2 linked regions of the Macaca fascicularis genome follow. The protein of the gene in region 2 interacts with the protein of the main gene of each other region in a biochemical or structural test. Links are inferred from orthologs where the notes say so. Each region holds a gene or a part of one and is shown on either strand. Other genes may lie near its edges.

Region 1 (5,450 bases), on a different chromosome or scaffold from region 2:
AGCTATAATCTGGTCTTTAAAAACTTCAGCTTTCTTTTATATAAATCAAGCCTGTGTTAACTTGTTTGAATTCCTTATAGTACATATTTTCCCATCTGTAATGACAAAATATTGATTGTAATATTTTTTCTATTATTTATAATTGCAAATTTTTAAAATATACAGCTTTCTAAAAGTAATAAATGTTTAGGATAAATACAGCCTTCCAGTAAATAGAATGTTTCTGTTTTTAGAACAGAGCTCTTACTGGTAATCATTTTAATTTTACGTAAAGCATGTTAGAGGAATGAAACCAAATCTTTCCTATTAGAAAAAAAATGATTGTCTTGAGGGGCAGTTGATCTGTGCCCATGCAGAGGCCATGTGCTTTCTATAACAGACATAAACAGCATCGCTGCTTGTGAAAAAATAGCTTTGCGGCCTTCCCCAGAGCAGCACTGATGCCGATTTGTGCAGCCCTCTGCTAAGGGCTGCTCCCGTGATGGGGGAACGGCTTGAGTCTCTTCTGTTCACTCTGTTGGGTAAACTTAACGATATTTTTGTTCAAGAATATCCAAAAAGAAATGCAGTTGGCTTGTTTTTTAATCCCAGTATTACAAAAGCAAAAGTACAAAGTGATTATGTGTGTTGGTTGGTTTGGGGGATGGATGGGATGCCACTGAGCTCTGCCCCTGCTATCCTAAGTGGGAACTGCAACGCAGGTGGACTCGGTGGTGGAGAGGCGCAGCGCTGCTCTGGAGCACACAGGCCGACATTCTGCCCAGGCACCGACCCCCCTGGTGGATGAGTGACAGCATTTTTAGTGCGCGCGCCTAACCACTGAAATGCCAGGAAGAAGAGACAAACACAAGAGCAAACAAGAAAGAATGAAGCAATGTTTGGGTTTTTTTGAAGCTTTTATAAATGAGGTTAAACAAATACCAAATTACAGGTGTGTTAGTACAAGTCTGTAGTATCTATGTACAGCAACGTCCATCCAAAGGCAGAATCACAGCCTCGTATCGGCCTCGAGTCTTGAGTCACATTCGTATCTTAAAATACACAAGTGTTCCTTTTCTGTCTAGTCTGTTATAGGCAACTACTTCCCAGACTCCACTTTCACTTCTCTCTACTTTGTCCGACCTGGTTCCCATGGCACTAGTGTGGAAGGTTTTAGGGTGTAAGAAGAGGAGGCAGTAAGGCTACCCTATCACTATGACAACCAAGAAAGAGGCTGGAGCGCCACTCCCCAACGCTGAGGGTGGGGAGCCATCCCTCTACCACGGTGGCAATGATGGAGGGAACTCGCATGCTCAGTATCCAGGATGCCATGCAGAAGACACCAAGGAGCACTGAGCCACTCTTGGAGCATTTCCTGCCTCTGCCAGGCGGCCTGCAGCTAAGTGTTTCACATAACTGAAAAAAGTCAACACAGTCTCATGTATGCAATTAAACAAAAGCTGTCAAAGTATAAAAAACTCAAGACACTGGAAGCTGAAAGACAAGGTGACTAGTGAGAGCCACTCTTCAGGCACACAGTGGAGTGCTCCTCCTGAGCAGCTCCTTGCTTCAGAGCACTTCAGTCCTGAATCCAGCACGGCAGGGCGTGTGAGGCTGAGAACACGGGCTTCTGAGCGATGTTTCTAATGTCCCCCCACAAATGGGAGCAGTGTCTCCGGCAGATGAAAAATTTAAAGTCAAAAATTAGAAAACTGCTTTTGATTCAGGCATTTCACTTTCCTCCCCGCCAGGCCTTTCACCTGGCTGCTCCACCTGACATTCTTCAAAAGGCTGGACTGGCTGCCACTCCATAATGGTTTGTTTTGAAATGAGACAGAACCTGTGGCGTCTGGGTGCTTTCTCTGTGGCAAAGAGGAACAGTGGGATCCACGTTCTTTTAAAAATATTATTGTACTTGACAGACTTGATTTCACAATTGCCTTTGGCCTTAGACAGTCTTAACAAATAATTAAACAAACTTAAAAAAAAATAGCAGTGGGGACTCTGTTTTGTGAGCCATCCATAACCAAAAAGGTCTGTTACGGGAGCCCAAAGTTGGGACACAACGTGGAAGACACCAGTGTCCCTGGAGTGCCCACCTTAGAGCTGTGCTGGATGAAGCAAGGGCCATGTGAGTCAAGCTCACTGGGGCACAGCCACTGCCAGGGCCCAATGATGGCGGGGCCTCCTGGCAGATAGCGAGGCAACACTGTGCTAGAGCGGGGGCGCCTGGGGCAACCCCAGGAGCTGACTGGCGTCTGTCTGTACATCTGAGGACTTCTGGGTGGCCTCTGGGTACAGACTGTCCTAGTCATCTCAGGAAGAGGCAGTTCAAAGCTAACCTGAGAGGTTTCTTTTGAAGAGATGCAAACTGATTTTAACATTGCTCAGCTGGAATTTTTAAAGGTTTCCTAAGCAACTACGGTCTGATGTGTAGACCGCAAAAGTTCCCTTGTGAAAAAGGCTAAAACTTGTGCAAGAAAAGGAACGTCGCAGTAAGCTTCCATGAGAGGATTCCTTGGGTAAAATACTCAATTATTGATATTTTCCAATTTAACACTAGTAGCTTGGAACTTCTACCTTAAGCTGAACTTTTTTTAAAAAAATAGGTTATTTAACATTGTATGACAATATATTTACAGTTTAAATAGAAATTTCAATAATCAAAATACATCCTTAGCAAAAATTTAGATGCAAAATTTTATAAAATAAGACCCATAGAAAAGCATATTTCAGTACCATTTCAGACTCAGCCTAAGACGAAGGTTTTCCTTAAATCCTGACGCCCTGTTGGACAAGCAGGGTTCCTCAGGCAAGATCCCTCTTCCAGCAACCAATCTGCCTCCCTGACTTCGGTGGTTTCTACAAAATGCTGATCCGACAGGCTTCTCCACAGTGGACACTGCGACACCGATCAGCAGAGCCTTTGAGAAGAGGCTGCAGTGGTGTCTGCGGCCGATGAAGAGGCTGCTGCATACAAAGCCTGTTCTGGGTGCCTGCTGGGATGTGCTGCTGGTGCTGCACGGCCCCTCGCCGGCTCACAGGGTGCTGTCCTGGCTGCTGAACGACCAGTGGTAAACACGCTGGCTTCACAGGGCCCAGCACAGGGGCACTGACGTGAGCAAGCTCTTTAAGATCACCCTAATACTCGTGTGGGAATCAGGCCAGAAACAGATTGGGAACCCAACTCGGTGAACGCACCCAGTTTCTCTTCCTTGTGGTCATATTTACTGGGTCCATCTTGAGGAAAATTCTTTTATTCATGTGGCTTGTTAGAGTAAGAAGAGTAGTGGTCAACTTTGGCCAAAACAAAAAGCTTCTGAATGAGTGTCTAGCTCTGTCCAAGTGCATCAGCTCTCGCTGCCTCGACAGGAGTTTCTAGTAGAGGTATGTGCATGTGCGCTCTGTGCGCTCTCAGCCACACTGCGGGTCTCAGATCACAAACGATGACTTGTGTCTGAAGTCGCCCTGCAAAGCCAACACACAGTTAAAGCCATCAAGGGGCCTGGTGGCAAGAAGGGAAAAACACTGAGTAAGTCTAACATGGGCTAAATACAAATCAAATAATCATTCTTTTTTTTTTTTTTTTTGAGACGGAGTCTCGCTCTGTCGCCCAGGCTGGAGTGCAGTGGCCGGATCTCAGCTCACTGCAAGCTCCGCCTCCCGGGTTTACACCATTCTCCTGCCTCAGCCTCCCGAGTAGCTGGGACTACAGGCGCCCGCCATCTCGCCCGGCTAGTTTTTTTTGTATTTTTTTAGTAGAGATGGGGTTTCACCGTGTTAGCCAGGCTGGTCTCGACCTCCTGACCTCGTGATCCACCCATCTCGGCCTCCCAAAAGTGCTGGGATTACAGGCTTGAGCCACCACGCCCGGCCCAAATAATCATTCTTAAAAAGTACCATCACTAGCGCCTGCAAAGCACAAATCCCATTAGTATGTGTGTGTGTGACTGTGAAGGGGCCGAGGAGCTCAGGAGCTGCACAATCACTCAGCAATCTTCCTAGGAGACCTGTGTGGTTTCCAAGGAGGAATGCTGTTTTCCCTGCTGGGTACACCTAGATTTCCAGGTTTACTAAATGATTACCTCCTCGTCAGTGCGGATGTAGTTGACTCCATCTGGTTTCCCTGGGTTCTTGTAACTGTGAGGAGAAGAGAGCAGTTTAGCAACAGGGTTGTTATATGATCGCCAGCTTGAACTTCCCTTTTTTCACATAAGGCAGGCTCACCTTTCTCCATCCTGTTTATTGTTGATGAAGTAGCCACGTCTGTATGCACAGCAGATGCCCAACGTGATCAGGGCCAGTACAGCAAGGACAACCAGAACCCCCCCAATAATTCCGCCAATGTTCAGGTCATCTGAAGAAAGGGAGGTTTGGGGAAAGCCATGATACACACTATCTGTTCTTTAAAAAGGCCCTGACCCTGCTGTGCCTCCTTCCTTCACCCCAAACCCACTTGCCCCCTGCCCCCTCAGGCCTACCCCAGCTAGAAGAGAGAACTTAATCTTTCTAGCCTAGAACATATAGGACACCATAACTCCTAACTTCACATGTGAAAAGTACTGAGACTTCTACAGCTGAAATGCAGTTACACTGAAAACTGTATTCAAGTGGGCTTGGCACTGTAGGCTTAAAAATCCTCTGGCTGAATGCCCGAGATTACTTATGGGGGAGATGGTTATGAGGACAAGATTAGGAGCCAGGATCCCAAGGAAGAAAAGAATCCCTAATTTCCAGGGCCTCTCTGTTGTGGACTGCTGTGGGGAAGAAAGTTAGTTTCAAGTCTTACTTAAAAGTAAAGAATCCTAGGTAAGAACTAGAGCTCTGCCTCTGCTGGCTGCCTGACCTCTGATCTATACGCCCTCTGAGAGGAGACCCCTGGAACCCTTTCTCATGTCTGTACACTCAGCAAAAGCACTGGGTCACCTTCACATGGGGCTCTGGCAGTCGTTTCCTTCAAGCAAGCAACACATGGAAAACTGCAGGGAATTTATCAACAAGAGCCAAGTAACTTGGAGTTTTAAAAAATCTCCTTTATCCTAGTGTATTGGTTCTCAAATATGAATGTACACTTAAAAATCAATTTGCAGGCTGGGCGCAGTGGCTCACGCCTGTAAATCCCAGCACTTTGGGAGGCCGAGGCGGGCGGATCACGAGGTCAGGAGATTGAGACCATCCTGGCTAACACGGTGAAACCCTGTCTCTACTAAAAATACAAAGAATTAGCCGGGCGTGGTGGCGGGCGCCTGTAGTCCCAGCTACTCGGGAGGCTGAGGCAGGAAAATGGTGTGAACCCGGGAGGCAGAGCTTGCAGTGAGCCAAGATTGTGATTTTTTTTTTTTTTTTTTGAGACAGAGTCTCACTCCGTCACCCAGGCTGGTGTGCAGTGGTGCAATCTCAGCTCACTGCAACCTCTGCCTCCTGGATTCAAGGGATTCTCCTGCCTCAGCCTCCCAAGTTACTGGGATTAC
Region 2 (6,040 bases):
ACATTTATTTAGACTGAAATGCTAAGAAATTATCCATACAAATCTCAGTTGCTCAGGTCATCCTCCTAGAACTACTTGTTACCCTGACTCTTAGCTAAACGCCACAGTCCTTCCTACTGCATGAAGTCCCAGGGTCTTGCCCTGGCATTCAGTCCTCCTCAGTTTGATCCTGACCCCCTGGGCTGAATGCCTGAATTGCCTTTGTCCATACGGCCTTCCTGGAATGCCCTCCCTTTCACTTCTCAAAATCGTAGCAGACATTCTGCAGATTCACACACCTAGACCCCAACTGCAGACCTACAGACCCAGAGCCCATCTGCCCCTGCAGGCAGGTGCCTTACCCAGTTAGCAAGCACTCCCTATATCAAGGTCAGCCTTCCCACCAACCAAGCCCAGTTCAAATCCTAGTGACTACATGAGACTCCCACACGCACCCCATAATGATAGTACCTACCTCCAAAATGCAGAAGCGATTACTGACTGTATCACACTGGTGCCAATAATGCTACCACCTACTGTTATTTACACTGCTATATATTCTTCCTGTCTCCTAGATTATACTTTTTTTTGAAAAGTGCACGAATTCAATCATATTTTTTTCATACAGCATGACTTTTTATACACAGCAGCCCTTCAACCAACCCCACACTTAGCGCTGCAGCTCAGCACCATAATCACGGGTATCAGGTCGCAAGCACAGAAGAACAGATGCAGACACAGTCCATCCTCCCATCCTACACCCCCATGAGAATGGTCCACGTAACGTGGTTCCCAATGTCTAGCACCGCACTGTCCTCAGCAAGGCTCCTAATGCAGATGGGTGGATGAGGATGAAGAGCTATTCCCACTCATCAGTGATCACAACCACAAAAACATCTTTCATGAAAGGAAAAAAGAAATGTCACACATGACTAAGCGCAAGCCTTCAAATATCTACTCACTGAGGACATGTCTAGTATTAAATCATGACATTTCACTATCCAGAAAAATTGATTTGTGTAACCTGAAGAGAAAACAGCCCAGATGCAATGCCAGAAAATTAGCCCCACCACACCAGAAAATGTTTACTGCAGAGAAAGCCTTGGTGATTTGAGAGTTGGGATCTTTCTCTTTTCCTTTTTATTTTTTATTTTTGGCTTGGTTGGTTATTATACAAAGCCATAAACATGATCTGCCCACATTTTTCCCCACCAGATGGGAGTTCATCACACCACATGTCACCTAGCAACCTAAACACCACTCCACAACTATCCAGCCACCCAATTCTTCATACAGAATTTCTCTTGTTCTATTAGGCAATACCGGTAAGGAACAGAGAATAAAAGTTAAAACAGTGTTAAATACATAATATCACTTCCTCATCACTTAATATAGAATGGGAAAAGTAGTAAGAAAGACTGAAAATTAATCTCAATCATTGTCTAGCAATTTCAGAATAAAAACGAGAAAAAGGAGACCTAGAAGACACTCAAGCTCTGGCAACATGAGGGTCAACAGTCTTGGGATCCAATGATTGAACTTGGTATACTGCAAAGCCCCCGTTAAAATTCACCCACTGAACTCTAAGTTGTACTTAAAGAGCATGTCAGTGTTGGAACCCCTGACCCATCTCTGACCCGCCCTCTCATCTCCAACTCCCATGTCACTATCACCCTCCCTTCCTTCAGCTCACAGGCCCCCTTTTCTCTTTGTGACACCTCCCCAGACACCCGTAAGAAAACTGCACTCCCTTTTCTATGCCCTGTGAAACAACCACTGCTAATTGTTAATAACAAGGACCAGGTCTGTGACCAAGGCCCTGCGCTTTAGCCACCCAGCATCCCAGAGGCCCCTCTTCTCCCCATGTCACCACCAGCCCCTTCACCTGGAGGACTGCGCAGCCTCTTGCTCAGCCTCTCACAGCCAGTGGGTCCCCTAGATGTCCAGCACCCAGAACAGTGCTGTGAACACAGTCAAAGCTTCAAAATTTCTGTGGAACGAATGCCTCAAACAACATTTGAACTACTGTCAAATAGGCAGTTCAGCCTATGTCTATTTTGTGCACGATGAAACATGGGACACAGTAGGTAAAACAATTTTAATCACATAAAATTAATAAAGTGAAAGAAAATGTCGATCACCCTCTCCCTATTCAGGAGCCTAGACATACTGCAGAGTGCATATTACTTTATTTCTCTTTCCTTGCACAAAGTATTTTGTTGGTTTCCAGAGTGCCTGAACAATTTGAGTACTCTTTCGGAACACTTAAAGCATAAACTGTCACACATAAACAACACTTAAAAAAGCTAAATGCCCATTGAGATGGTTTTCTTTCCCTTTGTCAGCTTTGCAAGATAAACAGGTGTCCAATTCCCACTAATTTTATTTGATTTTCAATAAAAGAGTTCAACCAACTGTAAGGAACATAACAGAGCTATTAAAGCCAATGTCTTCCATCCTTGTGCCGGGTTCCTAAACGTCCCCCAAAATTATCTTTAAAAGCCCAAATTTATGCTACTTTTTCCAGTGTATACTAAAAGCAAAACAGCAGTCTAAAAAGCTTTTTATTTTTAATTTCTGAGAGAACTGAAGATGCCACCGGAGTACCCTGTGTACGCTAAATAGGGCTGACCAAGCCACTTTCCAACGTCATCTGCAGCCCCCAAGCCCATAGGGGCCAGGCCACTGTCGGGAACAAATGGGAAATACTGCACCGAAGTGAATGCACTCCCCACCAAAGAGGACTCTACTACAAAGGAAATATCCCCGGGTGCTTGGGAGAAACTTCAGCGTGGGCTGTTGTCAAACACAGACACAGTCGGTAAAACAATTTAGCAAAATGCCTTTTCACTTCTGACACATAGTAGAGGAATGCTGTGAAGTGGAGACAATGTTATCACTACAGCAAGAAAAAGGGAAATCCACTCAACTCTGAAGTCAGGCCCGGCTCCGCAGCCCAGCCACATGGAAGCAGCCCAGGATAGGTAGGAGCTGAGGTCCTCGCAGGAAAACTTTTCTTTCCGCGACCGTTTCAAGGTTGTGCTTTCCAGAGCCCAGTAAGGGGGATCAGCTCAGTAAATGCTCGCAAGCGAGTGCTGAGTGCCACCGGTGGCCCTCCCGGGAACGCCTCCCCGATCCCAAGCCGGCTACTCCCCAAACCCTGCAGCCCCCGGACGCGCGCCCCTGCCCGCCCCTGCTCGCGGGGGACAAGGAGGAAAAGACCCCCCGCCGCGGTCCCGCCCCCGCCCGAGGAAGGGAGAGGAGACAGAAGGCTCGCAGCCCGCCTCCGTCGGGAGGGCAGTCACGAAACTCTCCTCACACCAAAAGTTCCCAGTCCCCGGCCTGTGCCCGCGGGGCCTGGGAGCCGGGAGAGGCCTGGGGCTGGATTTCCCGGCCCGCGCCCCTGCGCGCCGGCTCGGGGCTTGGCTAGCTCTACAGACTACGGGGAAGCGCCCAGGGCCGGCCTGTGCGCCGCTGCCCGGCTCGCCCCGCGCTCCTGAGGCCGGAGCTCCCGGGGAAAGGGGGATGGGGAAGGGGAGGGCGGGGGCCGCGGGACCCGGCTGGGTGCCCCCGAGGCTGCGACCCGGCCAGCGCTGACAACTTTGGCGCCCGCAGCCCGGGGCGGGGGGCGCCCGCGAGGCCGGCCCGGCCGCACTTTCCCTTTCCCCGCCTCCCTGCGCCTCTCCTCCCCCTTCCAGGAAGCGCCATATTGATCCCGGCGCCGTCCCCGCCGCCGCCCCCTCCCCGCCCGCGCCCCCGGCCCCTCACCTTGGCGATGGCCTTCCGGTAGCGGGTCACCGCCTGCTGGATGAGGCTGAAAACTTTCATGTGGCCGTCCCCGCACGGCACGACCACCCGGGTCCGTCCGAAGCACACGGTCACTTTCATGCCGCCGCCGCCGCGGGCGGGCCCGCGCCCCTCGCCGAGCGCAGCCGGAGCAGCCGGGGCCGGGGCCGGGACCAGGGACGCTGGGCGCGGAGGAGCCGCGGGGGACTTGGACGCGCGGGCGGCTAGGGGCGAGGGCAGGCGGCGGCGACGCCGGGGGGCCGCTCAGCTCGCATGCCCGGTCCGGCCCGGCCACCCTCGCCTCGCCCGGGGCTCGCCTCGCCTCTCCCCGCCGCGGCGCCCGCAGCCTCCGGCCACCTGTTCGGCGTCTCGGCGCGCTCGCCGGCGGCGGCCCGGGGCTGTGTGGCGCTGGCGCTCGCTCGGGGCCGCTGGGGGAGGGGACGGCGCGAGGGGAGGGGAGGGGGAGGAGCAGGGCCGGGCACACAACACCGCGCACATGCGGCAGGGGGAGGCGCGGCCGGCTACCCGCGCGGGGCGGAGCGCACGACCGCAGCCCGCGCCCCCGCCACCGCCCTCCGGGGCCGGCCTCCTTCCGTCCCTCCCTCCCTCCCTCCGGAGGCTTGGGACCCCTGGTCCCACCGCCAACCCGGGCAGGCGGCCATCTGCCCCCACCAACCGTGGCCCGGGCGCCCCCCAGCCCCCTTCACCCCGCCCGCCCAGCTCCCTGCAGGGCTGCGCTCGCCCCTCCTCGGGGACGCCCCTTCCACGCCTCCAGAGGTCTCCACGGAGCCCCCCCCCCTTCCCTTTCCTTTGTCACTTTTAATCCCCTTCCTTGGACTGGAGGGTTTCGGGTGCAGGCGCTCCCGGGGAAGGCAGTTTTTGCTCAGCGCGGCGAGTCCCCTCCTCATCGCCCCGGAGGCTCCAGCCCGAGCCTCTCTGCCCTCGGGGACTCGAGCCTGCGGCTTGCTCCGCTGGGTTTCTGCCCTGCCCGCTCCCTAGCTCGGCTGCAGGGTCGGGCAGCGGCAGTTCTGCCTGAAACGCAAGAATTAATAGTCTGCTCTGGGGAGGCAGTGGGGAAGCTGTGAGCGACCGGGCGTTTTTCAGAGGTCACTGTTTACCTTGAAGTTTCCTGTTGACCCTCCGCTGACCCACCCACTTAAATAGATTAGACCGTAAACATCGCAATTCTGATACATTTATTTCTTTCAAGTTCTGCAGCATAAGCAATCCTAACGCGAATCCGTGAACAGCCTATTCTGACGCCGCGGAGAAAGCTCACGCGGGAATCCCCACGGTGTGCCCGCGCTTAACGCAGACGCCTGAACCCCGAGGAAGGCTCCGACTCCGCAATGAGTGACATGCGGGCTTGAGAAGTTCTGAAGGAACGTGATCCGAGTTAGGGAACGTAACTGAAGCTCATTTTGTCTTAGTTATGGACTATGATTCCTTAATAAACGTATGTCATTATGTTTAAAGAATGACAAATGTCAGCAAAGAGTGGTCCCTGTCCCAAGCCCGTTCCAGACTATGTGAAATTCTTTTTTGCCAGTTATTTCCGAGGGACGTGAAAGCAATCAAGCTGCCCTGGGTTGGCGCAGAACTTGAGCACTTAGAGGTGGAAGAGCTGGCGATTGACCATCCATCCCACTCCACCTCCAATCTTAAAACAAGGAAACAAGACATGAGGTTCGTCCGCTTGCCACACTCCCTGCGCTTTGCAGCACCACAGCTGCCCCAGCATAGTGCAGTTTCTCCTAGGAAACATTGCCCTTCCTCTCCTCTCCCAGCCCTGGACCACCACTTTCCACCACCTGTCCCAGCAAATCAGTGCAGTGGTGCTAGCCCCATCTTACTCCAGGACATTGACCAAGGGCCAAAGTCACTTGCCCAAGGCGACAGAGAAAGCTCAAGCAAGGCAGACCCAGAAATAGTCTAGGTTTCCCTCCTTCCACTCAGTCATGGGAAAGGCTCCTCCTACTGCTGTTTGGCTGCAGCACTAGACATTTCTACCCACTAATTAAGTTTATGACAACGATGACAACAACTGTTGCTGTGGGCTTTTTGCTTCTTACATAGATACTTGGATCCACAACAACAATTACTGATAATTATAGGTGTTGTTTCTGTTTTTATGCATTGGAGGAGTGTACTACTAGTTTAGAATGTGTACTAGTTTATTTTATTTTGTTTTGTTTTAATTTATTTATGTATTTTTATTTTATTTATTTATTTTGAGACCAAGTCTCGCTCTGTTGCCCAGGCTGGGAGTCTGAGG

What was found. The genes of interacting proteins can lie anywhere in the genome.
Region 1: the proteins of PARD3 (region 2) and JAM3 form a complex in vitro, tested with the Homo sapiens proteins (2 studies listed by BioGRID and IntAct, with this or other methods). The link is inferred for Macaca fascicularis from reciprocal best matches to the Homo sapiens genes PARD3 and JAM3.

Annotation. Positions count from the first base shown.
Region 1 is NC_088388.1:132,544,516-132,549,965, reverse strand, and holds the end of JAM3 (junctional adhesion molecule C), read right to left. Parts: intron 4,337-5,450; coding exon 4,207-4,336; intron 4,120-4,206; coding exon 4,065-4,119; intron 3,448-4,064; coding exon 3,412-3,447; 3' UTR 878-3,411; downstream 1-877. UniProt on the Homo sapiens protein: Junctional adhesion protein that mediates heterotypic cell-cell interactions with its cognate receptor JAM2 to regulate different cellular processes. Plays a role in homing and mobilization of hematopoietic stem and progenitor cells within the bone marrow.
Region 2 is NC_088383.1:35,574,263-35,580,302, forward strand, and holds the start of PARD3 (partitioning defective 3 homolog), read right to left. Parts: upstream 3,965-6,040; 5' UTR 3,868-3,964; coding exon 3,748-3,867; intron 2,964-3,747; exon of another isoform or gene 2,828-2,963; intron 1-2,827. UniProt on the Homo sapiens protein: Adapter protein involved in asymmetrical cell division and cell polarization processes. Seems to play a central role in the formation of epithelial tight junctions. Targets the phosphatase PTEN to cell junctions.